2 linked regions of the Tamandua tetradactyla genome follow. The protein of the gene in region 1 interacts with the protein of each later gene in a biochemical or structural test. Links are inferred from orthologs where the notes say so. Each region holds a gene or a part of one and is shown on either strand. Other genes may lie near its edges.

Evidence for each region.
Region 2: the proteins of TNFRSF13B (region 1) and TNFSF13B form a complex in vitro, tested with the Homo sapiens proteins (3 studies listed by BioGRID and IntAct, with this or other methods). The link is inferred for Tamandua tetradactyla from reciprocal best matches to the Homo sapiens genes TNFRSF13B and TNFSF13B.

The regions. Positions count from the first base shown.
Region 1 is NC_135332.1:521,512-537,135, reverse strand, and holds the start of TNFRSF13B (tumor necrosis factor receptor superfamily member 13B), read left to right. Parts: upstream 1-10,011; 5' UTR 10,012-10,048; coding exon 10,049-10,067; intron 10,068-15,624. UniProt on the Homo sapiens protein: Receptor for TNFSF13/APRIL and TNFSF13B/TALL1/BAFF/BLYS that binds both ligands with similar high affinity. Mediates calcineurin-dependent activation of NF-AT, as well as activation of NF-kappa-B and AP-1.
Region 2 is NC_135330.1:177,860,776-177,876,326, reverse strand, and holds the start of TNFSF13B (tumor necrosis factor ligand superfamily member 13B), read right to left. Parts: upstream 7,138-15,551; 5' UTR 6,939-7,137; coding exon 6,588-6,938; intron 6,484-6,587; coding exon 6,396-6,483; intron 1-6,395. UniProt on the Homo sapiens protein: Cytokine that binds to TNFRSF13B/TACI and TNFRSF17/BCMA. TNFSF13/APRIL binds to the same 2 receptors. Together, they form a 2 ligands -2 receptors pathway involved in the stimulation of B- and T-cell function and the regulation of humoral immunity.

The sequences.
Region 1 (15,624 bases):
TGGGGCCTGATGAAAATGTGTAAGATGGTCCCAAATGCAGTGGGGAGAGCAGGCTCTGGGGTCTGACACCCACAGGGCCAAATCCCAGCTCATGCCTTCCGAAACTGCGGGCAAAATGCTCCAGGACCCCTCAGCTGAGCATGCATGGTGGCGGCTGCCTTGAGCCAAGGTTGGCACGATTTAATATAAGCACACCGTAGGTGCTCCAAAAACCATGGCCAGCACACAGTAAGTTTCCTACAGATGGTAGCACCTCGTTACCAGCCTAAGGCCTGCCTGGCACATACTTGCCCAGCGCCTAGCCCCCTTTCCTGCTGGAACACAAGATGGCCACAGGCTCCAGCCCAGAAGCCACCCCACACACCTTCTCTCATCCTCTCAATTGTTATCTCTAAGGGTCCTTTATGTGCTAGGCCCAGCAGTGGTGCAGGGGCAGAGACAGTGGGCCTGGAAGGAGCTGTGGGTGGCCCAACCAGGGCTCAGTGGGGTCAACCAGCTGAAGCATCAGGAGGGCTTGGGGTGAGGGCCCGGCTAGGTGGCTGGGAAGGCGGCTCAGGGAGAGATGCTGGAGCTGGCCTCAGCTGCGCAAAAGGCCTACGGACTGAGTGTCCCCACAACCCCAGGCCTGTCTCTGTCTGCTGGTGCTGCATAACAAACTGTACAGCCCATCGGCTGAAATAGCAGGATTTATGTCGCCATTTTGGAGGCTGGAAGTCCAAAGGGGCCACAGGGCCGCGCGTTCTCTGGAGCTTGCAGTATCCTGAAGCACTGGCCTGCAATCCGGAATGTTCTCTCCGCCTTGTCACATGGTTGTCTGTCCATTTCCCCTTCCGTCTCCTCCCGCTGGGCCCAAGCTCCCTCAGCTTCCAGGCTCCGCTCACGTTGGGCTGGGCCCCGCCCTAACAGTCTTCAGAGGTTCCGTGTGCCCGCGGGTCCCACCCCCAGGGGGACTGAGGGAAGGGCGCAGGGCAGGGCCAGGACCCAAGGGAGGGGCAGGTGGCTTCCGCACCGTCCTCCACCACTGCTTCCCCTTTCCGGGCCCCGGCAATCTGTGGACAGTGGCCTGGTGCCCATCGAGTCACACAGCCTTGCCACGGGCCCCGCTCGGCCTCTCGGGACTGGCTCAGTGACCTCCCTCCCCACCGCCCTCCACCCAGCAGAGGCCAGAGGAGCCCTCACCCGGGGCTTGGGCTTACTATGTTTGTCCTTTCATGTCCAAGCCTTACTCCCTCAGCGCATGTTCATGGAATGTGTGTTACGTGGGGAGCGCGTTGCTGGGTCCTGAGGACACGTCAGACCCTTTGGGGCTCACCAGCCCAGGGCCTCGCCGTTAACCCCCTTTCTTTCCAGTGCCTCAGCGTTCTCATCTGTACAGTGGGCAGACGGGACTGGAACACCCGAGAGTTCACCCCCCTGGAAGCTTCCTCTCTTCTCGAGTCCTGGTTGCCTTGAGAAAGTCTGCAAACATCTCTCTGACAGCGCACGGGCAACAGAGAATGTTAGAGAGCAGAGCTAAAGACAGACAGACAGGGAGAAGGAGAGAGACAGGTCTCATGTTGCTCCCTACTGAAGATCTAAAACCTTCTCCCTGTTGGGTCCCATGGCGCCATCCCCCACCCATCCTGGTTACAGCCGGTGTCCAAGCCGTGGGGGCCCCCAGCCCTGTGGCTGGAGCCAGGCGCCCGGACGCGAGACCCCAGTGAACAGGGCCTTTGGACGAGGCTCCTTCAGCCAAGGGGCCACTCAGCCGGTGGGGTCTTCACCCAGTTACCAGGGTCCTTTATAGACAGAGTGAAATTCAGAGAGATAGACAGACAGAGGGAGAGAGCGCGCAGGCCACGGGGAGCCCCAGCGCTGATCAGCAGCTAAACGGAAGGGAAGGCAGAGGCCGGGAGACACGCGGTGGACCTACCACGGGACCAGCAAGGCCAAGGCGCCCCGCAGCCCCACACGCCGGGCCACGACGCCAGACTTCGGGCTTCTCCAGTCGCAAGGCCATGAGCCAAAAGATTCCCATTGTGTTAGCCCACCCATCGCCTGGCGGCTGCTTGAGCAGTGAACGGAAACAGCTCTCCCGTCCCTGAGCAGTGGACGGGCGTTACACGGCCGCCTCGGCCTCCTGCTCCACAGCCCCAGGAACTATCTGACTTTTTCCTAACAGACAGCTGCTCGGCTAGCAGCTACAGGGGTTCAGGAGAACCAAACTCTGGCTTCCGTTAGTAAAAATCCATCTTTTCTCCTTTCTGGGAACTTCCGGCAGGTGGGAGGAGTATGGAGAGGCCATGCAGTAGAAAAGGAAGGATTTGGTCACTGGGGGATTTAGGCACGTCACTGTACCTCTCTGACCCTCAGTTTCCTCTTCTGTAAAATGGGAATATTAATAAATGAATTCCTTAGAGGATTAAATTAGGTGAAGTGCTGGACTCGTGGCAAGCCAGTAACAAGTGCTGAGTACTGTTCTTAGCACAAATAAAGGGACATGATGGATTGAGAATAACCTCATTATTCCTTCCTTGACATCCACTCACACATTAGCAGGTGTCGCGTCTCCACTGGCTTGGGAAGGGCTGTGAAGGACCCGTCCTCGCTAAGGAGCGGCCGAGGACCTCCAGCAGCCCACACCACAGACAGGCCTCCCGCTGCTGGCCAGCACGCCCCAGCTCCATGGCCCTCTTCGAAGCCCCCCGGCCTCCCTGAAGACCACAAGGCTCGTGGAACTAGTGGCCGCTGCCCTCTGGGATGGCTGGGACACAGCCGCCTGCGAACTCAGAAGCGCAAAGGAAAGCAGCCAGGGGCCAGGGGCCACTATTCGACTGGCCAGAGATTCCACACCCGGCACTGCCCCAGCTGGCAAAGACAGGGAGTTGGGTGCACCCACCCACTTGGCGAGCAGCTGTGGGTCTGCATGGCCGTGTCCAGAGGCACTGGGAAGTGTAGACCCCACAACTCAGAGACCTGCTGTGAGTGAACCCCTGGAGGGTCCCCCAGACAACCCCAAAGAGGCCTTCCTGGTTTGTAAAAGCGGGAAAATGGGAACATCCTGAATGCTCCCCCGCAGAGGGGGCTGGTGAAGGGGGAATACTGGGCGTCAGCTAAAAGGGAGGAAGCACCTGAACGTGTGAATGTGAGCTGATGTCCCAATTTTGGGAATTATATACCTGAATGTGGTGAGAAGGTGGCATATATGTGGCCAGAATAAAAATTATAAAACAAAACAACCACAGGACTGGACGACACCTACCCTGAGCCACAGCGTAAACCAGGGGCTGCAGTTAGTGGTACAACTATACCAACAGCCTCCCATCGGGGGTAGCGAAGGTACCACCCTCTGCAACATGCTGCAGGTGGGGCAGGAATGTGAGAACTCTGTATTTTCTTGCACAATCTTTCTGCAAACCCACAACTTCTCTAATTATAAAAACACACAGTAAAACATCACCACCTTACAAACTCCAGTGTGACATTCGCTGCAGCCAAGGATGACTGAGGTGCTCTAAAGCTGTCAAGGGAAAGGTTGTTGGGGGACAAGTCACTCACAATCCCCAAAGAGTCGCCCCACCGGTAGCGAAGGGGTCCGTGCTCCACTGACGGGACTCGGGTCACCCCGCAGCGAGAGGCCACGCGGAGCAGGGGTGGTCGCTGTGCCTCTGGGCGCGGCTCACTAGCCCGTGACGTCACCGTCCTTTCTCCAGGACTGTTGCACCCGAAGCCACCACGAGCCGTCGCCTTCGCGTTCGGTTTCCAGGAAATGGCCGAGAAAGGTCCCGGGGGCCACCGGTCAGGGGTCCTGGTGTGGGGCGGCTGTGAGACAGTGGCCAAGCTTCTGCAGGGTCGACGCCAAACAAACAAAACAAGAATAAAGAAAAGAAAAAGAGGGGCTTGTTCTAAAATGAAAAAAGAAAACAACCCACCACGACTCCAGGCCGTAATGGTCAAACCCGATGTGTGACCGTTTCCTTCACTCTGTTGGAAGAATCAGCCACAGAAGACTTCGTTAGACGGCGGGGGTGACGCTGTGAGCGCGGCCTGTGCAGGGGCCCGGCCTCCCCCCAGCTCGGGCCGCAGGGGCTCTCCAGGTTCTCTGCCGAAAGGCAGCGAGCCCAGCTCCAGGGGAACTTCACGCGAGCAGTTGTTGAATCCTTTCTTTTTAAAATCTTTAAGTTTTTCTCAAGCATAACAACATACGAACATGAACATTCTTACCACACGGTCATTCCTTCTTGGTGTATGATCGATAGCTCACAACCTCACCGTGTATTCATCCCCACATCACCTCTCAGAACATGGGCATGCTGACGCTTTTCTAAAACATGTTTTTATTGAGAAATCTTCACCCCCACACAGGGCACACTTGGTGTACGATCAGCGGCTCGCAATGTCGCCACGCAGTTGTGCATTCATCACCATGACCATTTTTTAGAACATGTGCATCACCCCGGAAAAGGAAATAAAAAGGAAAAAGAACTCACACGCCCCGTTCTCCTAGTTGTCAAATCTTGTTGGAAGTGCTGTGGGTGTGCATTGTAGTTTACTTTCGGTCTTACATTCACGTTTAGGGGCGTTTTAGTGTCCCAGCTGCTAACAAATACCACACGCGGGGTGGGCTTAACGTCAGGGGTTTCCCGGCTCACGGCCACTTCCCCCGAGGGCCTCCCACCCTGGACTCCTTGGGTTTCCATCATGCGACAACACCCCGGGTGCCCCTTTCTCTCCAGGCCCTGTCCAGCCTCTGCTGCCCCAGGGCTTCTCTTTTCTGAGCCCCATTTCCTTCACCTGGGGGCACCCCAGCCGGGGGTGGGGCCCAGTCAACCCCCAACGTGGGGGAGGTTAAAAATAAAAAAGGAACCTGCCCTTCCCCGGAAAGGCTGGGGCTTTCATTGAAAAGGAGCGCCGTTTGTCTAGGAAGCAAAGTTGGCTCAACTAATGGCCTCTAGTGTTTCTGAGAACTTTGTCCAAACCGGGGGATTTGCAGGAACGAAGGACATTCAGTGTAAGAGACGGAGCCAATGTGTGTAAATTGCAATAATGAAAATTGGGGCTTTCACTGCATTTCTAAGAAATACCCTTTTTTTGGACACTTTTGCTTTTGTCTTGCTCTGGCGGGTGGCGGGAGAAGTGTCCCCAGCGAGGTCCCAAGGGCCTGCGAGGGGCGGCGAGCGGCCCTGACAGAAACTCTCACTGCCCAGATGCCACATATAGAACAGGTTGAGGAACTTAGGAGAAGCCATTTCACAGCTGTCCCTGTTTAAATCTGAGCTGCTCACTGGCAAACACCGGCCAAAAGCCTCCCTCCCCAGGACGAGAAACCCCGCGTCAGTCAGAAGGTAAAACACGTGTGGTGAGCAGACAAAGGTCGAGAACAGTCGCTGCAGCGGGGCAGGGGGTGAGAACAGTCGCTGCAGCGGGCAGGGCTGCAGAAGGCTCTGCTGTCACCACTGTCTCTGCACTTTAAGAGCACGTTGAAACAGACAGACGATCGGCTGTGTGTGCCAGGAAAGAAAGGAAGAGGCTGAACACAGCGTTCAGTGCACAGAGGGCCATGGCTGTGTGAGAAAGGGGGTGGGGCAAGGCAAAGCAGATAATGCGGTTACTCAGGAAGGCTCCCAAATGCCTGGGCTTGCCGGACAGCGCGGGGACAAGCTCTGCCGATGGCCAGGGCCTCTGCGTAGGGACTGGGTAATCTCAGCTGGAGAGAAATGTACTTTTCCTTCTGTTCCCTTTTTTCATTTTTTTCTCACCACGAGCACATTTGTTTGGGCAGACGTACATATGCACAGGTGTCAGCTCCGAAAGCCTGGTGGTTTTATTCTGGGCCCCAGATTCCTGCTACCTTGACTGTGAGACGTAAACATGGAATCCTGACTCTTCCACCCGGGACGTGACCCTCAGGGGTGAAAGTTTCCCTGACAACGTGGGGCGGGACTCCCGAGGATGAGCCTGGCCCTGGCACCGTGGGATGGGCAACGCCTTCCTGACCCAAAGGGGGAAAGAAATGTAATAAACTAAGGCATCAGTGGCCAAAAGAAATAAAGTCGACTCGACAGGCTGCTCTGGAGGCTGCCGTCACGCAAGCCTCAGTTAGATAGTGCTGATTCCCATGTCAGCCAAACCCCAACCACCATCACTCCTGTTGACTCTTAAGAACACCTAGGGCTCGAACTGAGACTCTGTAGAGGTTTCATCTCTAGGTTTGCCTCCCTGAAACATATATTCCCAGAGGATTCTTGGATCAGATGACTCCTGAAACCCAGAGGGACCAGCCTCTCCAGAATTATCAATTAGTTCCATCCCCCTCTCCTTCAGTAGACATCCCTTCTCAACATGAAAAAGTCACAACAGACATTGCCCAAAGATCCCTGTAGATTGGGAGAAGGATCAGAGGAGACAAGAGGAGGTATAACAGAGAAAATGGGATTTAACAGATGGAGTATGGCTGCTGAATTACTATATTGATATTCCTTCCAGCCTCCAGGTTCTGGAGCAGCGAGAAGGAAAAACCTGAGATGGTGGAGTGGTAGCCCATGACAAACTCTGGGATCTGTTCTGTAACTACTTGTTGAAGTGTGCTTTGAAAAGTATTTCTTTCTTTACTTTGAGTTTATGTCATTTTTCACAATGAACAATGTTAAAAAATTAGGACCCCGGGTCCTCTGGAGAAAACCCAGAAAGGGCTGCAGAGTGAGGCTTGGGGGGCTCAGAACCCTCCCCTGCTCCGAGGGACCCCACGTGTGCAGGTCCAGGGGCTCACCGGGCCACCCCGCAGTGACACCCCCACATCGTGTGGCCCTTGGGGCTGGTGGGGGCTGGGGTGCTTCCTCCAGGTTATTCTGGGGGCTTGGCGTGGCCCCCCCCGGAGATGCAGCGACACCCCCACCCCCCGCCGAGGCCGCAGCTGGCTTCTGTCCAGTTCATTAATATCCAATATGGAGAGAAAGAGGTGGACATAGGATGAATGCACTTATGCCAAGTGCAGGCACCGTGCGTCTCTGGCAAGGGGCCGGAGGGGTGGCTACCTCCGGGTGGGGTGGGGCGCTTTCTACTGCCTGGAAGGGCCTGAGGGAGCCTTCTGGGGTGCACCTGGCTCGTCTGGGTCCCCAAGGCAGCAGCTCCGAGGGTGGAAGCACGCATGGGGTTTCACTGCATGTAAATTGCACCTCACATCAAAGAAAACGAAACAGTAGGTCAAGTTCCTAACCTCTAAGACAGGTTTGGACAGAAGGGTGACGAAGGAGCGCTGCCCTTCCATTCTCAGCCACCCCAAAAGTTGCGCTGGGTTTCAGGGAGCAGGGGAATCAGAGACATAACCAGGGCCTCACATCCACGGCCAGCTGGCCTCTGAGAAGGGCGCCAGTGCGGCCTCTTCATCAAAGGGTGCTGGGAACTGTGTCCGCACGAGAGAAGGGAGACACCCGTCCCGCAGCGCATTCAAAGGTTGACTCGGGGCGTCCTGCACTTTGGTTACAATCCTCACGGCTTTGGGACTCGAAATATTCATGAAAAAGCATGACCCATTCCGTGGGATCGCAGCCACACAACAATGCATGCTCAGCCGTGCGCGACACAGAAGGGGCTAGGAGGAGAGGCCTAGCTGTGAATTCGGAGGATTCTGGATGAGTTTTGCGTTCTTTCCTTCCTGTGCTTTTCTGATTTCTATACTGCACAATTAACTTTAAAAAAATTTTTTAAATGTTATTTTTCAAACCAAAATGAAAAGGAAAGAACTCAAAATGGATCAAAGACGTAAATATAAAAACCAAGACTATACAATTCCTGGAGGAAAACATCGGGAAGCATGTTCGAGACCACATGCAGGGCAGTGCTTTCCTAGAATTTATACCCAAAGTACAACCAACAAAACAAGAAATAGGGGGCGGGCCACGGTGGCTCCGCAGGTAAGAATGCTTGCCTGCCATGCCCAAGGACCCGGGTTCGATTCCCGGTGCCTGCCCATGTAAAAAAAAAAACAAACAAAAAATAGGTAAACGTGACTTCATCAATTAAAAACTTTTGAGGATCCAAGGACTTTATCAAAAAAGTAAAAAGGCAACCTACAGATTGAAGGAAAAATATTTGGCAACTATATGTATCTGATAAGGGCTTAATATCTAGAATATATAAAGAACTCTGACAACTCAAGAAAGACAAACAACCCAAATAAAATGGGCAAAAAATTTCCATAAAAATTTCTCCAAAGAAGATATATAAATGGCTAGTAAGCTCATGAGAAGATGCCTCACATCTTTAGCCATCAGAGAGATGCAAATAAAACCACAAGATAGCCTTTCATACCTACTAAAATGGTTACTTTAAAAAAAAAAGGAAAATGACAAGTGTGGGAGAGGATGTGGAGAGACAGGAACCCGAGGCACTGTTGCGGGGTGTAAAAGAGTGCAGCTTCCGTGGAAAACAGTTCGGTGGTTCCTCGGAAAGTCAAGTATCGAGTTCCATATGACCTGGCAATTCCGCTTCTAGGAGTGAACCCAAAAGAACTGAAAGCAGGGGCTCAAACAGGTATTTTCACACGGAAATCCACAGTGGCCTTCTTCGCAGTTGGAACCCACATGCCCCTCAACCGATGAACGGCTAAACAAAGGGCGGTGCAGATGTACAGCAGGATATTATTAGCTGTGAGAAGGAAGGAAGTTCTGATACATGGATGGACCTTTAAGGCATGTTGAGTGAAAAAACTCAGGTACAAAAGGACAAATAAGCAAATTCATAGAGGCCGAAATGATGATTCAAGTTACTAGTCACAGGGGCCGGGATGGGGAAAGGGGAGTTACGCTTGGCTGGCGTGGAGTTTTCTGTTTGGGGTGATGAAAGAGTTTTGATAATGGATGATAGTGATGGAGGCACAACTTTGTGAATTTAATTAACACCCCTGAATTGTATCATTGAACGTGGATAAAATGGGAAATTTTATGCTATTTGTTACCAGAATAAAAGCTTTAAAAACAAACAAGCAAAAAGAAATAACATCACGAGATTATTGCACAGCAGCTCTTTGTCAAAATGTGTCATGTCTGTGTAATTTAAATATAAATTAAATTTTGAGCCCCTCAAAACAATGTTTAATTCCCAGGTGGTGTTTAATTCTACTCCGCATAGAATTTAGAAGACAGTACTTTTTATGTGTCCACATCTTGTTACCTGAGGCCAGCGCATGGGCGAGAGGAGAGAGGGGCAGGCCACCCGCCCGCCCCCAGGGGGCACAGATGGATGATTTCTGCTTCCTTCTAGCTTTTGTGGGAAGGTTGCTAAGATTTGGAGAAAAGGAGCAGGTAGGGCAAATTGCCTTTACCTGTCGGATCGGCCTGTTTTGGCTGCAGAATAAAAATTGTACCTGGAAGTACGTGGGATGTGTTAGAGTAAGACTGGAGATTTCAGAGTTAAGAAGGTTACAACAGTGTAGTAAGAGCTTTCTGTCCTGGCTCTGTTTATTGGGAACTGACTCCAGGCCAAGGACTCATGCTAAGAACTTTATTGGGTTAACTCACTTCCTTCTCATCACCGTGAGGACAAGAAAATGGAGGCCCAGAGCGGGTAAGGAAACTGCCCTTGGCCACCAGCCGGTAAGCAGCAGAGCCAAGATTCAAACCCCGTCTGCCTGTCTCTGGGTTTGTCCTCTCCAGCGCTTTCATAGGGTTAGAGGCAGCCCAGAGAGTGGCACTGACCTTGGTGGGGGCAGTCAGGGAGGGCTTCCCAGAGGAGGTGACCCCTCCACCTAGCCTGGAAGAAGGAGGAGGAGGAGGCGACGAAGCAGACATGGGGAAGGGTTGAGTTCAGGACAGAGTTTACTCTACATCCCAGGCATGAGCAGGGCCTTGGCTCCCTGCTTGCACATAGTAGGTGCTCAGGCGCAGATGGGGTGGGATTCCAGGGGCACCGTGGGAGGGGGCGGAAGGAGCCCCAGCTGGGCTGCTCTGGGCCTGGTAGCGCAGGCGCGGGGCAGGCGGGGGCTGCTGATTTACATCTCATGGGTGGGGGAAAACCCAGACAGGGCTACCGAGGCACCAGCCACCCCACGGCCAGACCCGCGTCCCGAGGGATGAGCCTCGCCGCGCGCTGTGAGTACCTGGGTGGGTGCGGGCAGCCTGACCCTACCCCGGCCCTGCCTGCTGGGAGCCCAGACCCTGGGAGCCGGGGCGGGGGGGGGGAGCAGGCAGTCCAGGGAAGGGGGTCGAGGCCGGACTGGACGTGGCCCTTCTCAACGCTTCATTTTAAAGCTGCAGCTGCAAAGAGCCAGCAGGGAGCGGGAAAGAAGCCCGCAGACGCCCCCAGCTTCTGTAATGGCCTGTGTCCAGCCAGCTGTCCATCACCGGGCCCCCCATTCCCCTCTCGTCGCCCCGGCATTACTTTAAAGCTAACGAACAGCGCGTCATTTGGTGAGGGTTTACTCAGGGTGTGTCTCCCAAACACAAGGGCCCAAAAAACCGGACTCACCGTCGTGCCACCCACTTTCCTTCATGCCGCTAGACGCCGGGCAGCTCCCGGGCGGTCCTGGCTGCCTTATAAATCTAGTCCCGCTCATTCACTGAAACGGGGGTCTGCATAGAGCCCACCTTTGGTTACTTTTTTTTTTCTTCAGATCCTTTATAAAAACAACAACAACAAAACGTTGGTAAAATTTGTCATAAATTTCTATGTGTCTTCAAATGTCCCATTTTGACCACCTTCAAGTGTGCGATTCGGTCGCATTAATTTCAAGCACAGCATCGTGCTTTCGTTTTAGTTGGAGACAGTTCCCGCTCCTTTTTTTGTATTTTGCCTTGCTCCTTCTCTGGTGAAGAAACTGGGTCCCATGGAATTTTTTCAGGGCGGGCTGTATGGGCTGATTTGAAGATGCAATTTTGCTGGGAGTGTAAGTAACTAACACGGGCTGTGCCCAAGGCCCGGGGCTGGTGGGGCCTGGGGCTGCCCAGCACAGCCTCCAGCTGCTCTCGGCCACCCTCTCTCCCCCACCTCGGGAGGCACGTGTCCCTTCGCTGACCCCCTGTGTGTCCAGCGGCCGTGCCCCCACACATTTCTGAGAGCTGGACAGGGTAGCGAGTAGGGATGGCTCGGCTGGCACCATAGGGCAGGGACCAGCCCAGGGCCACGCTGGTGGGGGCGAAGCCACGTGTGCAGGATGGTCAGCCGCGACTCCCGGCAGGGCCCAGGGGACCTGCTTTGCGCTCCCCTGCTCGCAGACCCACCCTGGGGCCTGGAACAAGCTCCCTCCCCTGCTGGGCCTCCACTTCCTCCACCTTAAAATGAAGGGCCTCTGGCCTGCCAGAGGGTCCCCCAACCAGAAAGGGCTTGGTACCTGCCAAAGCACCCCTTGAAGAGTCACAAGCAAAGGCTTTGAGAAGGCCTGCAGTCAAAAAAAAAAAAGGCCTTGATTCTCTTCAGCGCAGCACTTTTCAGCCTAAGCTGGCAGGGGAGCTGTTTTTGTGGGTCACTGTGACGAAGCCCAGGCAGTTTGGGGAAACGGGGCAGCTCCTTTGAGACCCGGCCCTTGCCTCTTGGCTCCTCTCTGCTCTCTGTGGCCCCGGAGACTCTCCGCTGCTTCATCCTGGCTGGACCCTGGGGCCCAGCCCAGCCCCCAGCCCCGGCGAGTGGAAGCGCGTTCTCCCCTGGCCCCTTTACCTCTCCCGGGCTTCTTTCTCCAGCCTCTCCCCAGCTGGGCCCTCTTTGGGGGTGGATGATGGTTCTGGGGTTTTCGGGGTTTAGGTGGTGGTAGAGAGGAAGCAGGGACGACCTTCCCGCCCACAGCCGCCCCGGGCTGTGTGTGTGTGTGTGTGTGTGTGTGTGTGTGTGCATGCGCGTGCATGTGCATGCGTGTGTGTGTGCATGCATGTGTGTGCACGTGTGTGTGTCAGAGAGAGTGAGACGCCCTCCCTGCCACTCCCCCTTCAGGTGGGAGGGGAGCAGGGTCTCTTTCACTTTATCCATTCCTGGTGATTTTTTTGAGGGGCATTTATTCATTAAAAAAAAAAATTTTTTGTATGCTGTATGACAGGGTCACATTTCATTCTTTTTCCATGTGAATAATCCGTTATTGCGGCACCATTTGTTGACTTTTTATTTGTTTTTTCTTTGTTTCGGTTGTTTGTTTTTGGGGGAAGTGCATAGACCGGTAATCGAACCCGGGTCCCTCACATGGCAGGTGAGAGCTCCGCCACTGAACCACCCTTACACCCCCTCATTTATTCAGTTTTAAACATTATTTATTGTGAGATCTAGCATATACACAGGAAAAGCAATGCATTTTAAAGTACATTTCAACAAGCGGTTATACAACAGATTTCTAAGTGTAGTATGGGTTGCAGTTCCACAATTTCAGGTTTTCCCTTCTAGCTCCTCCTGGTGATTTCTAAACAGGTGGCATACCACGTGATTTGAAAACCAGAAAGTATAGGAAGAATACAGAAAAAACTCCTCCTTTCTTTTTGTTCCCCATCCCCAGTTCCTGCCTCCCCTGACGGCTTTATTGGGATATAATTTCACCCCATGAAGTTCTCCTGCTTAAGGTGTGTGGCTAAATGCTTTCAGTGCAGTGACAGAGGTGAACTGCCACTCACCATAATTCAGTTTTAGGGCATTTTTATCCCCCACCCCCCACCCTGAGGAAATACCAGTCTCCTTTCCGTCTCTGCAGTTTTGCCAGTTCTGGGCATTTCATATAAGTGGAACCTACAATACCTGGTGCTTTGTGGCTGCTTCTTTCACTAAGCATAATGTTTTCCAGGTACATCCAGGTTACAGAAAATATCAGTACGTCATTCCTTTCTGTGACCAAATAAGCTTCACTGTGTGGTTAGAACACATTTTCTTTATCCATTATCTGTTAATGGACACGGTGAGTTGTTGCCACTTCTGGGCTCTTGTGGACAATGCTTCCGTGAGCATTGGTGTCCAGGTTTTGTGTGGCCCACGTTTTCCTTTCTCCTGGGTAAACAGAGACCCAAGTGGAATTGTTGGTTCCTGTGGCAACTGTGTTTAACATTTTGAGAAACTGCCAAATGTTTTTCAAAGGGGCTGCACCGTTTTATAATCCCAAAAGCTACATATGAGGGTTCCAGTTTCTCCACATCCTCACCAACACTCGTTGTCCATCTTTCTCATCAGCGCCATCCTAATGGACGTGAGGTGGTTTTGATTGGTATTTCCCTAACGACTAATGAGGTTGAGCATCGTTTAGTGTGTTTATTAGCCATTCACATATTTCTATTCAAAGCCTTCCCCCACTTTTACATTGGGTTATTTGTCCTTTTATTATTGAGTTTTAAGTGCTCTTTCTATACCCTTATCAGCTACTTGATTTGCAAATTGCTTTCTTGATGGTGTCCTTTGAAACACAAAACGTTTAAATTTTCATAAAATACAATTTATCAATCTTTCTTTTTACTGTTTGTGCATTTGGTGTCATTAACCCCAAATCACAGAGATTCACTCCTGTGTTTTCTTATAAGAGTTCTGCAGTTTTAGCTCTAACATTTAGGTCTTCGATCATTTTGGGTTGATTTTTGTGTGTGCCGTGGAGTTAAGTGCCCAGCATCGGTCTTTCGCATGTGGAAATCCAGTTATGGGCACTCGGCATTGTTTACTGACAGGACTGTTCCTTTCTCCATTGACTTGTTTTGGCACCTGGTAGAAAATCAGTGGCCATAAATGGACTCTCCAAGCTCTTAACTCTACTCCCTTGTCTGTATTTCTGTCCTTACGCCGGCACCACACTGCCCTGAGTGCCACAGCTTTGCAGTAAGTTTTGAAAGCAGGAAGTGTGAGTTCTCCAACTTTGTTCTTTTTCAAGATTGTTTTGGCTATTTTTGGTTGTCTTGCATTTTCAAGTGAATTTTAGGAACAACTTGTTAAATTGCAAACAAGCCAGCTGAGATTTTGATTGGGATTGTGTTGAATTTGTGGTTAGATCACCTCAAGTAGTATTGCCATTTTAACAACAGTAAGTCTTCCAATCCACGTCTCTCCACTTATTTGGCTCTTCTTTAATTTCTTCCGTCAGTGTTTTGTAGTTTTCAATGTGCGAGCCGTGCCCTTCTTGTATTTTGTTTAGACCACTGTTTTGGTTTCCTGTGTTTCATTACAGGGTTTCTTCATGCAAATGCCAACAATTAAAAATAAAGATTTTATAACGTCCCTCCTTCTTTGCAAAAAACAGAGCCCATGCATGCCTTGTTCTTGTTTTCCGTTTAATATGGTTGCATTTGTCTCCATAGCTGTGTGTGAAGAACTGGCTCATTCCTTCTTTTTATAGCTGCATAATAACCTAATGTGTGAGTATACTACACTTCACTCAGTTGGGTTGCTCCCAATCTTTTGCTGTTAAATACGTTGCTCCAGTGAATTTCTCATTTTGCCCTCCTGGCTAAATCCCTCGACTTTCTGGTTTGCTTGTTTTATGTGGTCTGTTTTGTCAGCCTTTTCTTTTATGGCTTCGGATTTGGGGTCATAGCTGGAAAGACCTTCATGCTCCAGCCTTATAAAGAAACTATTGAATGGTTCCTCTAGAACTTTCACAATTCTCCTTCCCACGTAAATCTTTGTGCTGTTTTTTATCTAAGAGAAATTATTCTGTATGCTTGTTTCTGGCTAATACACCTTGTCTGTCCCAACAGTCCTTCCTCCTAAGTTTCTAAAGCAGAGGCCAGGATTTTTGCTCCCCCTCTGATGTCCCCCCCCACTCGCACCCCCGAGCCAAGGTGCCCAGGATTAACTTCCACCTGAGGGGGGGCAGGCTGAGCGGGGCACAAGGAAAGTCACCTGTTACCTGTTTTTGGTACAAGGCAGGAAGGTGGGGGGCCTTTTCATTCACCAAGCCTTCACGGGGCATGTCTGTGTGCAAGGTGGCGGACCACTCACAAGCATTTAATCGGCACTGGCAGTATACCCGGTGCTCTGAAGGCACTGCCTTCTGGGGTAAGGCTCTGCAAGGAGGAGGTGTGGCTGCAGCCTATGGTGTCACATTACAGATCAAGGAGCAACCCAGGGAGCGAGTGCTTGGGGCTCGTGACCAGCGAGGCAGGCCCCGAGGAGGGGCCCCCGAGACGCCCCCGGGACAGGTGTCCTTGGAGAATGGCGACTTCAGCCCTAGCTCAGGTCCTGGGAGCACTTCCCAGCTGGCGCTCTAAGTTGGTGCTATGCCACTATGAATAGTTATTAATGCCATGATCATCATGTGTCAGTATAAAGTGACTGTTCGTAATCCATCACGTGCTCTATTGTTTCCATCAGAGCCGCGACTCTCTTTGTCAGCCTTGCGTCCCATCCGTGCTGGGCCTCCACACCCTTGAGGGGCTGGCGAGGGAAAGCTTACGATGCCTGTTGTACAGATGAGGGGCCTCAGGTGGGCAGCTCTGAGCCTTCCCCCAGGCAACCCGGGTGGCCCCAGCGCTGGGCCTCCCACCATGAGCCCTGGGTGCTCCCATGTGCTCCCACCGCACGGCTGCCGGCAGGTCTCCACATGGCGGGAAGGCAGCAGGGAACCGAGGCAGCCGCTGGCGGGCTCCCTCAGGACTTCATTAAGTCCTTGATGTGCATCCTGCGTGGGTGGGGTCACAGCCCCGCACAGCTCTCAGAGTGAGTCTGGGTCCCCCGTTCTGAGGGTTTTCTTTTCACTTTTTG
Region 2 (15,551 bases), on another chromosome or scaffold:
GTAATCTACAAATGGACAGGAAACTTTTATCTATTTTGTTTCTGATGAATATCAAACAACTAGAACAGTCCCTGGAACCTAGAAGATGCTCATTAAATACTAGTTGACTACACTGAATAGAGACAATATCATTTTTGGCTACACTGATTGACTTGTTTCCTGGCTCTTCAGTTTCCCAAAACTTCAAGCTTCACAAGAACAGGGTTCAAATATTTGGTTGCCAAGTCACTAACTTCAATTTTAAGTACTTTATTTGAAATTGAACAGACGCCAGCTCTTGCAACACTGAAAAAGTCTCAGTATTGATGTAAGGGAAAAGAAAAATAACACTTAGGGAAGAATCTGGTGAAAGATTACCATGACATCAGCCAGCTGGTTCTATTCCAGGAAGGAACACACCCTTACTGGGTAAGAGGCTCAGGTTAGTCTAATTTTGTTACAGATTGGATGGCTGAGTTCTGCATTATATCCTTTCAACAGTCAAAACCTTGTGAGTTACACCTGAGCCAGAAATTTCAATGGCACAGTCTTCTCAGACATCCCAGCTTTCCTTGTCAAGGATTTGGTCTATAAATTTCAACAAAGACTCAAAAATAGTATTGATGCTTTCATTGTTAAACATTTAGAAGGTTTATCGCTGGAAAATACGTGAGTTACAATATCAGGAGTTAGTTTATGTGCCCTGTATTCAAAATTCTGATTAAAAAGGAAATGTTAAATGCATGTGAGATCCTGGATGGATCTGGAACATGAAAAGGACTTCAGTGGAAATACGAATAAAATCTGGAATTTCATTGAAAGTAATGTCTTAATGGTGGTTTCTGAGTTGTGACAAAGGTATCTGTATGAGGGATAATGGGATCTCTGTATTATCTTTGCAGCATTTCTGTGGTTCTAAACTAATACCAAAATTTTTAAAAAAAGTATTTTAAAATGGAGAAAAATAAATGAGATTGGTCAAAATCTTACAATAATTATTTGGAAGATAAAATATGAGCAATTTTTTTCACTTCTGCTTTTATATTTCTTTGAATTGTTGATGTTTTCACCCTTATTTTGCTATAGAAGTTGAGACATGAATACTAAAATTATTCATATTAATATAAGGTAAGTTTTGTCTTTCTATAAACTATAAAACATGGATTCTAAAAGCTTAAAATTTCCCTATTGAGTAGCAAGGGGAAGCTACAAAAGATCACATGATTTTATTGATAAAATATTTTAGCTCAATAGAAATCCATTTGAAAGAATTAACTTTATTGATATACTAATGATGCCTATCTTTAGGTTCATAAAATGAATAGAATAATATTTAAGTGAGTGTTCGAAAATACATCATAAGTTTATTTGTAAAGGAATTTTTATATGTAAAACTGTCTTTAAAAGGCATATTACCTAAGTTATTAAAAATAACTTGGGAATATCTTTAAAGACACTTAGGAGTTAAAAGTGAATTTTTATCTAATATGGACTGTTTGGCAGTTCTTTGATCCTGGTTTTCCCCACATTTCTGTTTGTAATACTATTATCAGAATGAAGTTATGAAATACATCAAGTGTCCTAGCATTTTAATTTGAACCACAAAATTATTCAGAAAAAGTGAACTGGAGCCAAAGTGCTAAATTTAAAATTAAATAAAAGCAGCGCTTACCCTTGGTAAGACTTGAAGGGTTGACCATCATGTGTCCCTTCATTTACTGTTCAGTTTGTAAATACGCAGTGAACCATAGATTTAAGCCATGTGCACTTTTCAAAATAGGAATAGCACTTCAATTAAAATTTAAAACTTTAAATAAAACCAGAAATCCATGGAATTGTAGGTAAAGAAGTTTCTGTATATGGGATTTTCTATATGACATTTCAGGTGTCCAAATTATGCCTCTACCTGTCGAACAAAGGGAGCCAGAAGGAAGGTACCCTACAAGTGACTCATTTCTCCCCCAAACTCTTCCATCTCCCTGCACCCCCTACCTGATGGTCCAGCTCACCTTTTTTTTAAAAAAAATTCTTTTATTGTAAACAACAAACACACGTACAAACGTTCTTGAAATGGTTACAATCAAGTGCTCACAATATTATCACATAGTTGTATATTCATTACCATGATCATTTTCTTGAGCATTTGCATCTCTCCAGCAAAAGAAATAAGAGAAAAGAAAACACTCATACATGCCATACCCCTTACCCCTCCCTCTCATTGATCACTAGTATTTCAAGCTACTCAATTTATTTTAACCTTTGTTCCTCCTATTATTTGTTTATTTCTTATCCATATTTTTTAGTCATCTATCCATACTATAGCTAAAAGGAGCATCAGACACAAGGTTTTCACAATCACACAGTCACACTGCAAAACCTATATTATTATACAATCATCTTCAAGAAACATGGCTACTGGAACACAGCTCTACAGCTTCAGGTACTTCCCTCTAGCCACTCTAATACACCATACACTAAAAAGGAGATATCTATATAATGCGTAAGAACAACCTCCAGGACAACCTCTCGACTCTCAGCCACTGATACTTTATTTTGTCACACTTTTAATTAGTTGTTTTAAATGTCACCTTAAAATATTTCATAGGATAGCCTCTGATCAAAACTGGAAAACGAAGAAATAAGGGAAAATCCAAAATAAAAATGATGTTAGATCATCCCACAAATCATTCTATTTTGCTTCAAATTGAGTCTGAAACTGATCAATAAACATTTGTAGAATGCTTAGTGAATGCCTGTTTCAGGAGAGAAATAACAGAAAAAGAATTAGGACCCAGACCACAGGAATTCTCTACTATGTAATTAATTGTACAGACTGGACATCTACAGATGAAGAGGTCGCCTTCCTTAGTGGTATGTAATAGGTGCAATAAAAGAGAGAAGTGTTTGCTGTGTGCTAGGAGGTCAGGAAAAGGTTTTCTGTCTTAACATGCTAGAATTCAAATACAAATTTAATTTACCCAAGATAAAATTGAGATTTGGGTTGAATTTGCAGGGTTGAAAAAGTAACATTCTGCTTTATTTAGCTATGTAAATTGTTGACATAATTATAAACTGATACCATTATTTATAGAAACCAGAGAATTTTAGGGAAAAAAAAGTCTAGGACAATACTATGATTCTGTTAAGTATAAAGCCATTAAATAAGTTGGCATGGCTTTAAAATACACATAAGGTAACATATTATATCATTTATTTAAAGTTTTATAAATTTTTTAATAATTTTTTAAGCTACTTGAAAATGCTAAGACTCCGTAATAGCAACCAAAGTCAAAATACTTTTTAAATGAGTTTAATGAAAGAACAGGGAAACCTATAAAAAGAAATCTGAACAATTTTTTGGGAAATTTAAAATTAGATTTTAATAAAGATATTACTTAACATATTTCTGAATATATAAACTACATAGTGTAAAAATTCATTTCTTTCTTCAGTTATTTATAGTTTTCATTAAAAAAAACCAATGACCTTAAAACATATATGGAAAAATGACCACATAAGAACATAAAAGAACATTTTGAAGGTAATAGCAACCACCCAAGTTTTTTGTGTCTTTGAGAATAAATAAGGATTTGAATGGATACAAAAATAAAAGAAAAACATTTAGAAATTTCCCAATTTCAAAAAAGACACTAATAAGCAGGGAAAAAAATCATTGAGTTTCAGACAAAATTCTTGTGTATTTACTTCTAAATATACTTTAGAAGTATATTACTTCTAAAGAAGCAGAAAATTTTCTCCCACAAAGGAGAGTATCATTCAAGTCATTTTCACTGATAAGGAATGACAGGTAACACCTATTAATACTTTGAATGTATGAATATTCCTGTATTGATTTCATTTAAAAATCACCATTATAAATGTATATACATGTGTGTTAACAATAGAAGAAAGGCTTTGTAAAAAACCTAAGGAAAACCATGAAAATGACAATAGTGGTTGTAACTGGGCTCTGGAAGTTAGAGTGTTTTGTTTTTTCATTTTGTTAAAGCTTTCTGGCATTGTCCAAACTTTTTACAAATTGCTAATTATTGGGGGAAAATTTTGCATCAGCATACAACTGTTATATGCCATAATGCACAAATACATAAAAATATATAAATTTGTTAGAATGAAACAAAAATATTAGTAGAGGATTTGGAGGAAAAGGGACTCTGGGAGTTTTGTTTTCTTACTCTACTATTTTTTTCTTATTAAATCTGCCATGATAAGCCTTATATCATCTTTAGAATGTAATATTTAGAGGTAGGAGGATAGTATCAGATAAGGTTGAAGAAGACCTAGGAATCCTGACTACGAGATACTGGAGCCCATTATAACACAAATTACTTCAAATAGTTCATTTAATGCAAATAAATAGAAGAGTAAATCAATGAAACAAAAACAGAGAGTCTGTAAATAGATTTGACTATTTTGAGGAACTTAAAAAAACACAGTAAGCTTTCCTAACACAAAAGGAGTTAAAAATTATTTAATAAATTTGGTTGAGCTATTTAGCAACAGTTTAGGAAGGAAAAAAAAAGAAGAAATGAAGAACTTAAAACAAGCATGTCAAGATACATCACAATAGGCACCAGAAGGGTTAATGAGTTAAAATCTAAACTAAAATACTAAATTATAAGAAATTCAAAGTAGCAGAAAGTAGAATAGACTACTTAAGAGATCCTGAAAGAATATTCTTTCAGCTTTGATGTATTAGAAAAATAAAAGGAAAATATTATTACATTAAAGTATAGACATATAAAATCTCTGTATAATTTTTAAAGCAGCAAAATATTATGAAAACTTTGATAAAATTAATACATCTAATATATAGTTTATTCCAAATTATAAATAATTAGGACGACAAATGGTAGAAGTTATAGATAAAAATTAACATGATAAAATTAGAAGTAAAATATGGAGAAAGAAGTTCATTTTTATTTGCAAACAAACAGCAAATTAAAATAAAATTGAGATACTATTTCACTGTTACTAATCTAGCCAAAATAGATTTTAAAAGCTAAAATGCTTGTAAGACTATAGAGAAACAGACACACCACCTTGCTTGTTAAATATATTTATACTCATTCTGAAAGCAACATAGCAGTATATAACAAGGGTCATAAGGATTTCCATTTTATTTAATTCAGAAATTCCACTATACAGAATTTGTATAAAGCAGTTAATGACTCAGAAACAAAAAAGATCACTGTAAAATTTTAGCAAGATTGTACTGTATTGTAGCAAAAAATGGAAATAATTGTGTTGAAAATAGTAGAATAGCAGATTAATGTACATGTATGAGAATTACTTAGAAATAGGGTAAATACAGATTGTATAATAAGAAAAAACAAAAATATAAAATAATAGATATGCAGCACTATTTTTAATTATTGTAGAAAACAGATGAAAATAACTGATATATTAAAGCAGTAATATTATGCCTGTTTCCTGGTTTAAAAATTATTAAGTCTAAGTGTTTCTGATAATTGGCATAAAGATATGAAAATCAGATAACAAAGTTATGGTTTTATAAAATAGGGGAGAAGGTTTTTCATAAATAAGGTATATAGTTGAAAAATAAATGGATTTGTAGGCCAAGCACTTTGTGTGTGTGTATACACATGTGCGTGTGGATTATAGAAAAGCACCTACCCTACCACTGAATAGGTCTCACATCTTTTCTCAGAAGAGAAAATATGAAATATTATGGTGCTCAAAAATGCTCTTTCAATATAAAAGGAAGATAGTATCAAGGATTTGTGGACAACATCCTAGATTATAATATTAATAAATACAAAACAAATACTGTTCTTCATCTGTGAAATGAAGGAACTAGAATTGATTATTTTGATAATCCCTATCATCTCTAAAATTTTATGAATTTATGAAATTCTGTGGAATAAGTGGAACATGACGAAAAACAGAAATCATGAAAAAACTATTAGAAGATTATAAACGTATGGAATTCCTGGAAAGCCATAACTAAAAAAAAAAACTTGAAAATCAATGGGTGTGCATGCGCATTCACAAGCCTGCATATGTGTGCAAAGCATAGCCTCCCACTCTAGGATCTTCATTTGGTTTCACAAAATTCACCCTTGGGAAACACTTGTCTTTAATGACTTTCTATGACCCATGTAGACAAAGTCTAATTCTGTAGTGAGATGAAGTGAACTCATTGGAGGCCAAAACATGCTGTGGAGCCCATTGAATTTATCACTGCCACTGCTAGGGTTTTGCTAAAAAGCCAAGTCTGATTTTGATGGTAAATTTCATAGTCTCTATTTAAGAGGTTTCAAGAGATTATTTCACCTCTATTCCCCTAAAGTTGCTGCTATTTTCTAAACCTGTGAACACTGTAATCCTTTGATACTGAATGCTAAATTCTGAATGCTCTTGTCCCCCAAACTTACCTGTGTCTTCTGGACTCTGAATACCACGTTTACTCCTGCTACTCTGACTGGAGTTACTTTCTCCAGGAACTGGTGGTGCAAGGATCCCCTGTTGGCAGAAAAATCCCAAGTTATTGAAAAGACAGCTGGCATGGGGGAGAAGCAGCAGGTTAGGAAGGATTGTATCTGGAACTGCAGCTGCCCATAACTCACTTCAAGTCCCGTGGTGAAAGCTGGAGTTTCCGGTAAAGCTGCCGTGGGGGCTCCAGCTTCTGCCTTAGGAGAGACTGGCAGCTGCTCAGCTTGGTAATATCGCAGTTCCGCCCGGAGGCTCTCCAGCTCTGCTTGCAGGGTGGCCACTCTGTAGAAAGACACCACTGTGAGGGAGAGGGACAGCAGCGTCAGAAGCAAGGTCACTGACAGGAGCTTTCCATCTTTGGAGAACCAGGCAGAGGAGCTTTTCTTCTGGGGGCGAATAGACACCAACTCCTTAAGTTTCATTTCTTCTCTTTTCTTAAGGCAAGAAGAAAGTCGTAACTGCTCCTTTTCTGTGGAGTCAACCATTTCACTACTTGAACTTTGAAGGTTAGGGCCTTTAAAATAAGTGACCACAAGGAATGGATCATTTCCTGTTATCTGTGTTTGTTGATGTCCTACATTTAACACATCACAGAGCTTGGCTCTCTCTGTCAGGAGAGATCTCCTGAATTTTCTTATTTCTTCCCTTCTGCATCCCTGCCCCTCTGTACAATAGGTTTTACTGGCATTCGCCCTTCTATTGGATTGCTCAATCAGTCTTCCTCATTTCACTTTCAGTTTTTGTAAGAATTTTAATGGCATCTCAAAACAATCATATACAAATTCGCCCCTTAAATCCACTGACTAAACTTTGAATTTTGATTAGCATGTGCAAGAGATAGCTTTAAGATAATGTAGATGGTTAAGAGCTCACCCTTAGGCATTATTAGAGAACAGTGTCTAGTTGAGGCCAAATGACTTTGTAGGGAAGTGGAACGAGAACATAAAATGTTCCTGCTGGTGTAATAAAAATAATTAATGTGAAGGTCAGATAAGCTAAGTGCCTTAGCATTGACTTGTCCTCAGTTGCAGCTGTGATTTATTAACAGTTATCAAGTATGAAATTTTAAAAAGGAATCCTCAAAGGAGGAATGGAAGTCAGCTGGGTGTTATTATTTTAACAACGTATTAAAAAGAAAGTGACTAAATTTTAGAGACAAGTTTAGATTAGGTATGAGGAAGGCTATTGGGGGCGAATGCATTTCTAAAGGAAATGTACACAACCTTTTTTCCTGTTCAGACTCATTGGATAGGTAATCAACCCCTCCTGATGAGTCTGTTTCCTGTCTTTCCTGATTTGGCTTCTGAAGCCTCAAATTCCAACTCATCCTGCTACCATGTTGAGGAGAAGCTGGCCTTATTTCCACGCCTCATGGAACACATCAAGTGTTCTTACCCTCAGGTAGTTTACCTACTAGCCACACATATTAGTTTGACTGCCAAAACTGAAGATTATGGAACCTGTCCTGACTCAAATAAGAGCTAGTTCTGTTTCAAGAGCTCTTTATTGTTGCTGCCCAGACTATTCCACCCATTTTAATCCTACCTGTCTTTGACCACTGACTCTTAGCCACATCCTGGGCTCTGGCTGCTTTGCAACCAGCCCAGCAACAAAATATTGATTTACCAATCAACAAATATTACTGAGTGCTTGCCAAGCCCTGAGCTAGGCTGTAAAGACCCAGGGCCCAGGTTCTGCCTCCACCTCTATTTTGACAGCAAGTCACATAGCCACCCATATGACCTAAACAGACCTTAAAGGTCAAAGGATGTCTGACCCCTCCCCTAATATAATCTCAGGAGCATCTGCTGAAACTCCATTGTAACCAAATCTTGCAAGACTGTTAAACTTCATAAGCCATTCCTGGGCACCCCTCTCTCTCTTTTTCTCTCTTGACTTTGGGCAGAGTGCAGACTCTCAATTCCCCACCATTTGCCATTGGGGAAGATCTTCCTCCTGTCTGTAAGTTCCTAATTAAACTCAGAGCTGAAACATTTGTTGAGTCAACCAGGAGACTAAAGAGCTGCCAGCCATAGAAAGTATGAGTCTGGGGAAGGGGGGATCTGTGGGGTTAATCCCAAAGTGGACTGCTTCTTTAGTCATTCACTTGCTTGACTGTGTTGCAGTCAGTTGATCATCATATGCAGTGTGGCCAGCTACGGCAGGCTGTCTTGGGGAAGTCAGAGAAATCCACAGGTCTGTGGGGGCCATGGCAATGGACTGGAGAAATCAGCAGATTGAGATGATGCATTGAATGCAATTCATTGAATGTCTTGTAGATAAGAGTTAGAAATATTAGCATCTTGGCATGCTAGAGTAAGGGGGCATATCCTGACTTCCCCTGACTGGGATACCATAGATTGTTTATCTGATAATGAAAAGGAGGAAAAAGAAGAAATTTGGGAGGCAAAGGGTGGAGTGACTCCACCTTTGTATGCTGTGTTTCCAAAGTTTGCCTCATACTTACAAGGAATTAGGACTTAATTCTTTAGTATTCCCTTAAGTAAGGTCAGTCAATCCATTTTCATCTTCACCTGGGAAGGAGAACAAAGGAATGTCATTGTAGTCCCACATGGCTATTCACATAGCCTGGCCATCTGCCATGAGCTCTTAGCAAAAGGATTTGGCTAAATGGAAAAATGTAACTCTATTTCATTATATTGATAATGTGATGATGTCATGTTAACCAGTAATTCTTTTCCAGAATTAAAATAAAAGCCTTATTGTTATTTCATCTTAACAGTTAGAGATGGACAATTGATCATGGTATTCTGCAATGCCTTGGCTGCCTGTAAAATCTTGAGTATTGTACAACTGGAAAAGGCAAAATTTATTCCTTTAGTAGTAATTGATGAGGTACAATGTTTTCATATGCTGCATATGCCAAAACAACTAGTGGCTTCCTTGGGATTATTGGAATATTGGAAACCTTTCTTCCTCACTCAGCACAAAAGTTAAAACCCGTATTTGTTTTGATTAGGAAAAGCTATCCTTGGGAATGAGACACCTCCCAGCACTTTTGAAAAAGTCAGATGAGCCGTCAGACTGGCTCAGACTTTGTGTGGAGTGGACACAGATATGCCTTGTGAATCAGAAATGGCTACTACTAATATTAGCTTTGGGTGGGACTTATAGCAAAGGTAACAGGCAAAGTGAGTTAAAGAACTGAACTGTGGTCCTGTCCCTTAAGAAAACAACTGTGTGCTGCCTATAATGCCTTCTGTAAATTGAAGGATCAACTCAGAAATGTCCTGTGAAATAAAGAAGAGCCATCCTCATATAGGGGTGGATACGGAACACTCTCACTAAGTTTCACTCTAGCAGTGTACAGTTGAGCACGCTAATGAAATGAAAAGCCTATCTGCTACAGCACAGCATTCTCAACAAAAGCATCTTAAGTGCAGAAATGCATATCCTGAGACTAGTTCGTTTCTTATGTGGAAGAACAACACTTGCCTCTCCCTGCTGATCCTCCTGAAGTGGCTGTCTCTATGACCACCATTGATGGATATGGCAGTATTCCTAAATCTAATGGATCAGCACAAAGGCGGTCTGCTGCCTGGAGGGAGTAGCTGTGCAACCTAGTATGGATACCATATGGAGGGAAGCTGGGACTATGAAAAACAGCCAGTGGCTGAATTAAGGGCTGTATGAATAGTCATTGTTCACAAGCCAGGAGATGCATGAACTATCTGTGCTGACAATTGGGCAGTGTATCAGGGCCTGACAGTGAGGACAGCCACATGGTAGCAAGAGCACTGGCCTGTCGTCTGCCATCCCTTATAGGGAAAAGAAATGTGGGAAGATATTTGGAGTACTTGCCATAAGGGAAAAGTACTGTGTTTTATGTCTCTGCCGATAACACTGATTCTTTACCTGGCAATATTGAAGCAGACAGTTTAGCAAAAATTTGTAGCCTAAAGCCAACATCGCACAAGGCTGTTGAATGGTTGCATAGAAAGAGTGGACACCAAAGGTACTAGACTCTGTGGAGACTGGCACAGCAATTCCAGCTGCCCATCTTTAGACAACAACAGAAAGAAGTGGTAGATGCCTGCCCCTCCTCTTCGCTGTGATGCCCAAAGTTGCTTCTTCATCATCTCCACCACATTAGCCACAGGAGGGTTCCAGTTACCAGGTGGCAGGTAAATCAGATTGGGCCCCTTTCTTTAACTGAAGGTTCAAAATATGTCTTCATAGACATAGATACAGCCCCTGGACTGTTGGCCTCACCAGTAGGGAAATCTAAGCAAAGAGTGACAATATATAGCTTTAGAAAATTTAGAAAAGCTCAGTGCATTATTTGGGGTCCCTCACACATGTGGACAGTGATGGGGGACTCCCGTTCCTGGTCAACTAACCCAAGCCTGAGTACTGAGCATGACATCTTATGGACATTTCATTCGCTTTACAATCCCACAGTAGCAGGGTTAATTGAAAGGATGATGGGTTTTTTAAAGAGCAATTAAAAGATGATAGGCAATCTCTGCAGCAGAGGACATGCAGGTTGTATCCGGTCTTCACCAGCCTCAAATATGGCCCTGAGCAGCTGCTCCCACTCCTATTGTATTGGTAATGGAGGAGCCCATGCAGGTGCTGCAAATTTAGATAGAAGAACCAGAAGTACTACAGCCACAATGAGGCAATGAACATAACTTGCTCTTGCCTGTGCCACAAGCATTAGAAATTGGGGAAAATAAGTTGATTGGCCATGGACCTGGTCAGTGCAGTCATGTTGGTTGGGAGTCCTATGTCCCTGGGGTTCAGGGCTTGCCCAAAATATAAGTATTAGAGCACAGTTTATACACAAAATGTCAACAGTTGTACATGTAACCAACCCAGGACCCCTCATGCCCCAAAGCACAGTATGTATGACTCTGTGGATATTTATTATGCCTAGGCTAACTGTGAATTTGACTCTAAAAAGCTCCCTGCAATTGCAAGGAGAAATGGTGTGGTATTTGTCTACTAATGGAAATTTAGCTGTATTCTTTTGGTACTTAATGTCGTAGCAAATACCTCTCTGCAAAAGGCTTCTGCAGTGACCTACATGCACAGTAGACCTCAATGCTGAGTGTGCACTGAACTGCCACTGTTAGGTGCCACCGGCCTGCCATGGACTGTGACCCCTGGGAACTAGACTGTGTAGATACCCTGCTGGCCTGGCAGAATTCAGCACATCAGAAAAATCTGAAGAGAATTTTCTCATTTAGGATGAAACCACAGATAATTTCATTAATTGTCAGTAAAATGACTTAATTCCCTTTCTTAGCCATGTTGGCCTCAGTTCATGGAGTCATCTCTGTGGAGGGAACTCCTTATATTCTATTGCCTTATACTGTCAATGAACGCAATGTCTGTACCTTGGTCAAAGTGGTCAGCTGCGTGGAGATGGACTGTAAGGGCTCAGGGCCCGGGCCTCACCCCCTCCTCCATTTTGTGAGAAAGTCACACAGCTACCTGTATGACCTGGACAGCCTTTAAAGGTCACAGATTGTCAAACCCCCCTCTCGTAACAATCAAACCTCACTAAGAGTCTGCTGAAACTCCATTGTAACCAAATCTCATGAGACTGTTAAACCTTATAAATTGCGCCCTTCTTTCTCTTGTTTCTCTTTTGGCTTTGGGCACACTGCAGACTTTCATCTCCCAACCAGCTGCCTTTGAGGAAGAGCTTCCTCCTGTCCATAAGCCCCTACTCAAACTCTGTCTAGCGTGTCCTTTGGTCTCAGGGCTGGGCTGGACTGGAACAGAGGCAGTACTCCCCAGACAACTGGACATTAACTGTATCTCATCTCTATGTTTCTAAGCAACTGTAAGAAAAGACACTTACAGAAGTAGTACAAGGAGAAGATAAGGACTCTTCGGTCAGGCCTCCAGGGTTCAAATCCTGGCTCTACCACTTAATTGCCTTAAGCAAATTTCTTAACCTTTCTGTGATTCATTTTCCCCACCTGTAAAATAAGACAATAATAGTAACTATCTTTCAGAATTGTAGGGAGGCTTGTATCACAATATTTGTAAAGTACTTATGACAAGGCCTTTACAATATTAGAAATTAATCACATTATTGTTCTATAATTGGAATTCCCTTTTTCAGGGTTATGTTTCTGAAATTTACCCATAGTTCTAGTGCATTCATTTAAAACTGTCTATTTCATTCTATTGTAGGTGGGAACTACATTTAATATGCTTCCATCTTTTCATTATTACAAGCAATGCTGCAATAGACATTTTTGTTCATGTCTCTTTGTAACATCTACAAGGGTTTCCAAAGTAAACACCTGAACTAGAGTGGACACATCTTTACCTTTCCTGGGTGTCAGCAAATTACTTTCCAATGAGTACCTATTTCCTTATCTTACTGTCACATGATGTGGTCAGGTAATTGTTTTTGCTTAACTATTGAGATTTTTTTTTTCCTTTGCTTCTGCAAGCTCAAGAGAGCTTACTTTATGACAGAATAATACTTTGGCACCCCAAATAAGCTGCTCTCTGCTTGCTCATGAACAAGTATGTGTGCAAACTCTTTTGGATCAGATATCACATAATGCCATTCTTTCTCCTTGTTTCCAGGTCAATCAAGGTGGTGCATACCGGACAATTTTGTGATAAAAAATAACTGTGTGGGGTTTTATTAAACTCTTCTGGTGAAAGTAGTTAAGATTCATTCAAGTCATATATATTTAAAGATATTAATATTACCTAAATGCATATAGAGCTAAAACTAGAAAGGTATTCAGGATTTTAGGCTAGAAACCAAGTACTCTCTACTTCTCACTTATGACCAACTGGAGTCACTGGTTTGCTTGTTTTGTGTACATCAATATTCTTTCTCTTTTGACTGACCAATCCTCTTCATATTCTCTAGGAAAAAACCTAAAAGAACAGGGAACTAATTTGATCGTAATGGGAATCACCTCTGCCTGCACTTCTCTATTGAGCAGAAATCTTCATACCAGACCATCTCTAGAGTCACTAGCCAAACTATATTCAGGGACCTTAATAATAAATACCTTATGTAGAATGGAATGATATCTTAATGTTTTGTTTGTTAATTTTTTTTAATTAATAAAAAAAGTTTAAAAATAAATAAATAAATACCTATTTTTGGCTCAAATAGTGGACAGTCCTATGTATAGAATAGGCTTGTGCTTCTTCCACTGAAAGGCAACTGTGGGGCTTCACCTACATGGCTTCACCCTGACATGAAAAGCAGGCACAGCGATTTGCATGTCCTCTGCAGGGATTATAAAGTTTAAATTTATTGGGTGCACAGGTGGTTCAGTGATAGAACGCTCGCCTTTCATGTGGGAGACCTGGATTCGATTCCTGGACCATGCAACCCCCCCAAAAAAAATTTTCTCTTAAGACAAGTAGATATGAAGTGGCATTCATGCCCTCTTGAATTTCTTATTCAAGGGAAACAAAAGAAAGTTATTACTCCATAAATCAAGAAACTGTTTCCTGCAGGAGAAATGGTTTGGCAATAATTTAACTGAAATTCTGTTAAATAATTAGCATATTCATTTTCACTGAATAACCACACTATGGGTTTATTCTCAGGAAAAAAGCAGTTATACCTGAGCCACAGAGACTAGAGTGAAATTTATATATATTCAATTTTTACTGTCAGTATTTAATTACTATCAGTAATTGATAGTTATTTATTTATGTTTTTTACATGGGCAGGCACCGGGAATCGAACCCGGGTCCTCTGGCATGGCCGGCGAGCATTCCTGCCTGCTGAGTCATGTGGCCCAATAATTTATAGTTTTTTAAATGTATTTCTTTTTCTCAACTCAAATGTAAAACATTCTGTTGTAATACATGAATACCAAATTTACAGAGATACAATGTTTCTTGAGATTGATAAAATTGTCCCATACACTCATAAGTAGAAAGATAAGATAATGTGAGGATATGCTTGAATATAAATTAGAAGTTTATTCGACGGACAAAATTGTAGTACAAAACAAACATTCCCTGTTTGACAACTTTCTTCTTACAATGACAACTTCAAAAAATATTCAAAAACTTAATTAACAAGTCCTGGCTAATTAGTACTATGAAGGATTAGCAGGTTTGGGGGAACACTCCTATATGTCTTTCTTTGAGGAAAGAGATGTTTTTCTTAAGGATTTGAACCACTCAAATATGGAAACATAGTTTTTCTATATATGGGGATGTACCTTAAGTATATCTAGGTAAAACTGCCATTCCAAAGTGTTCAGAGCATGGAAAATATTTTAATGCACATAATTATTACATATAAGAAAAATTATGTTGTTTTCTGGAAAGAATATGTTCTAGTTTGCTAGCTGCCAGAATGCAATATACCAGAAACGGAATGGCTTTTAAAAAGGGAACTTAATAAGTTGCTAGTTTATCGTTCTAAGGCCAAAAAAAGTCCCAATTAAACGAGTCTATAGAAATGTCCAAATCACAGGTATCCAGGGAAAGATACCTTAATTCAAGAAGGCTGATGAAGTTCAGAGTTTCTCTCTCAAGTGAGAAGGCACATGGTGAACACAGTCAGGGTTTCTCTCTCAGCTGGAAGGGCACATGGTGAGCATGGCATCATCGGCTAGCTTTCTCTCCTGGCTTCCTGTTTCATGAAGCTCCCCGGGAGACATTTTCCTTCTTCATCTCCAAAGGTCACTGACTGTGGACTCTGCTTCGTGGTGCTGCAGCATTCTCTGCTCTCTCCGAATCGCCTTCATTCTCCAAAATGAAGAACTTTTTACTTTTATAGGACTCCAGATACTTATCAAGACCAACCCAACTGGGTGGAGGCATGTCGTCACCTAATCCAGTTTAACAACTGCTCTTGATTAAATCACATCTCCAGAGAGATGATCTGATTACAGTTTCAAACATGCAGTATTGAATAGGGATTATTCTATCTTTATGAAATGTGATTTAGATTAAAACATGGTTTTTCTAGGGGACATACATCCTTTGAAACCAGCACAGAATACATATGTGCTCAGTTGCTAATATAGTAAAACTTGATTTGGAAAGCTAAAGGCTAAAATCTCTGCATAATTTAATTGTTGAAGCAAGTATATGTTATTAAAAACACAACTCTGGTGTTT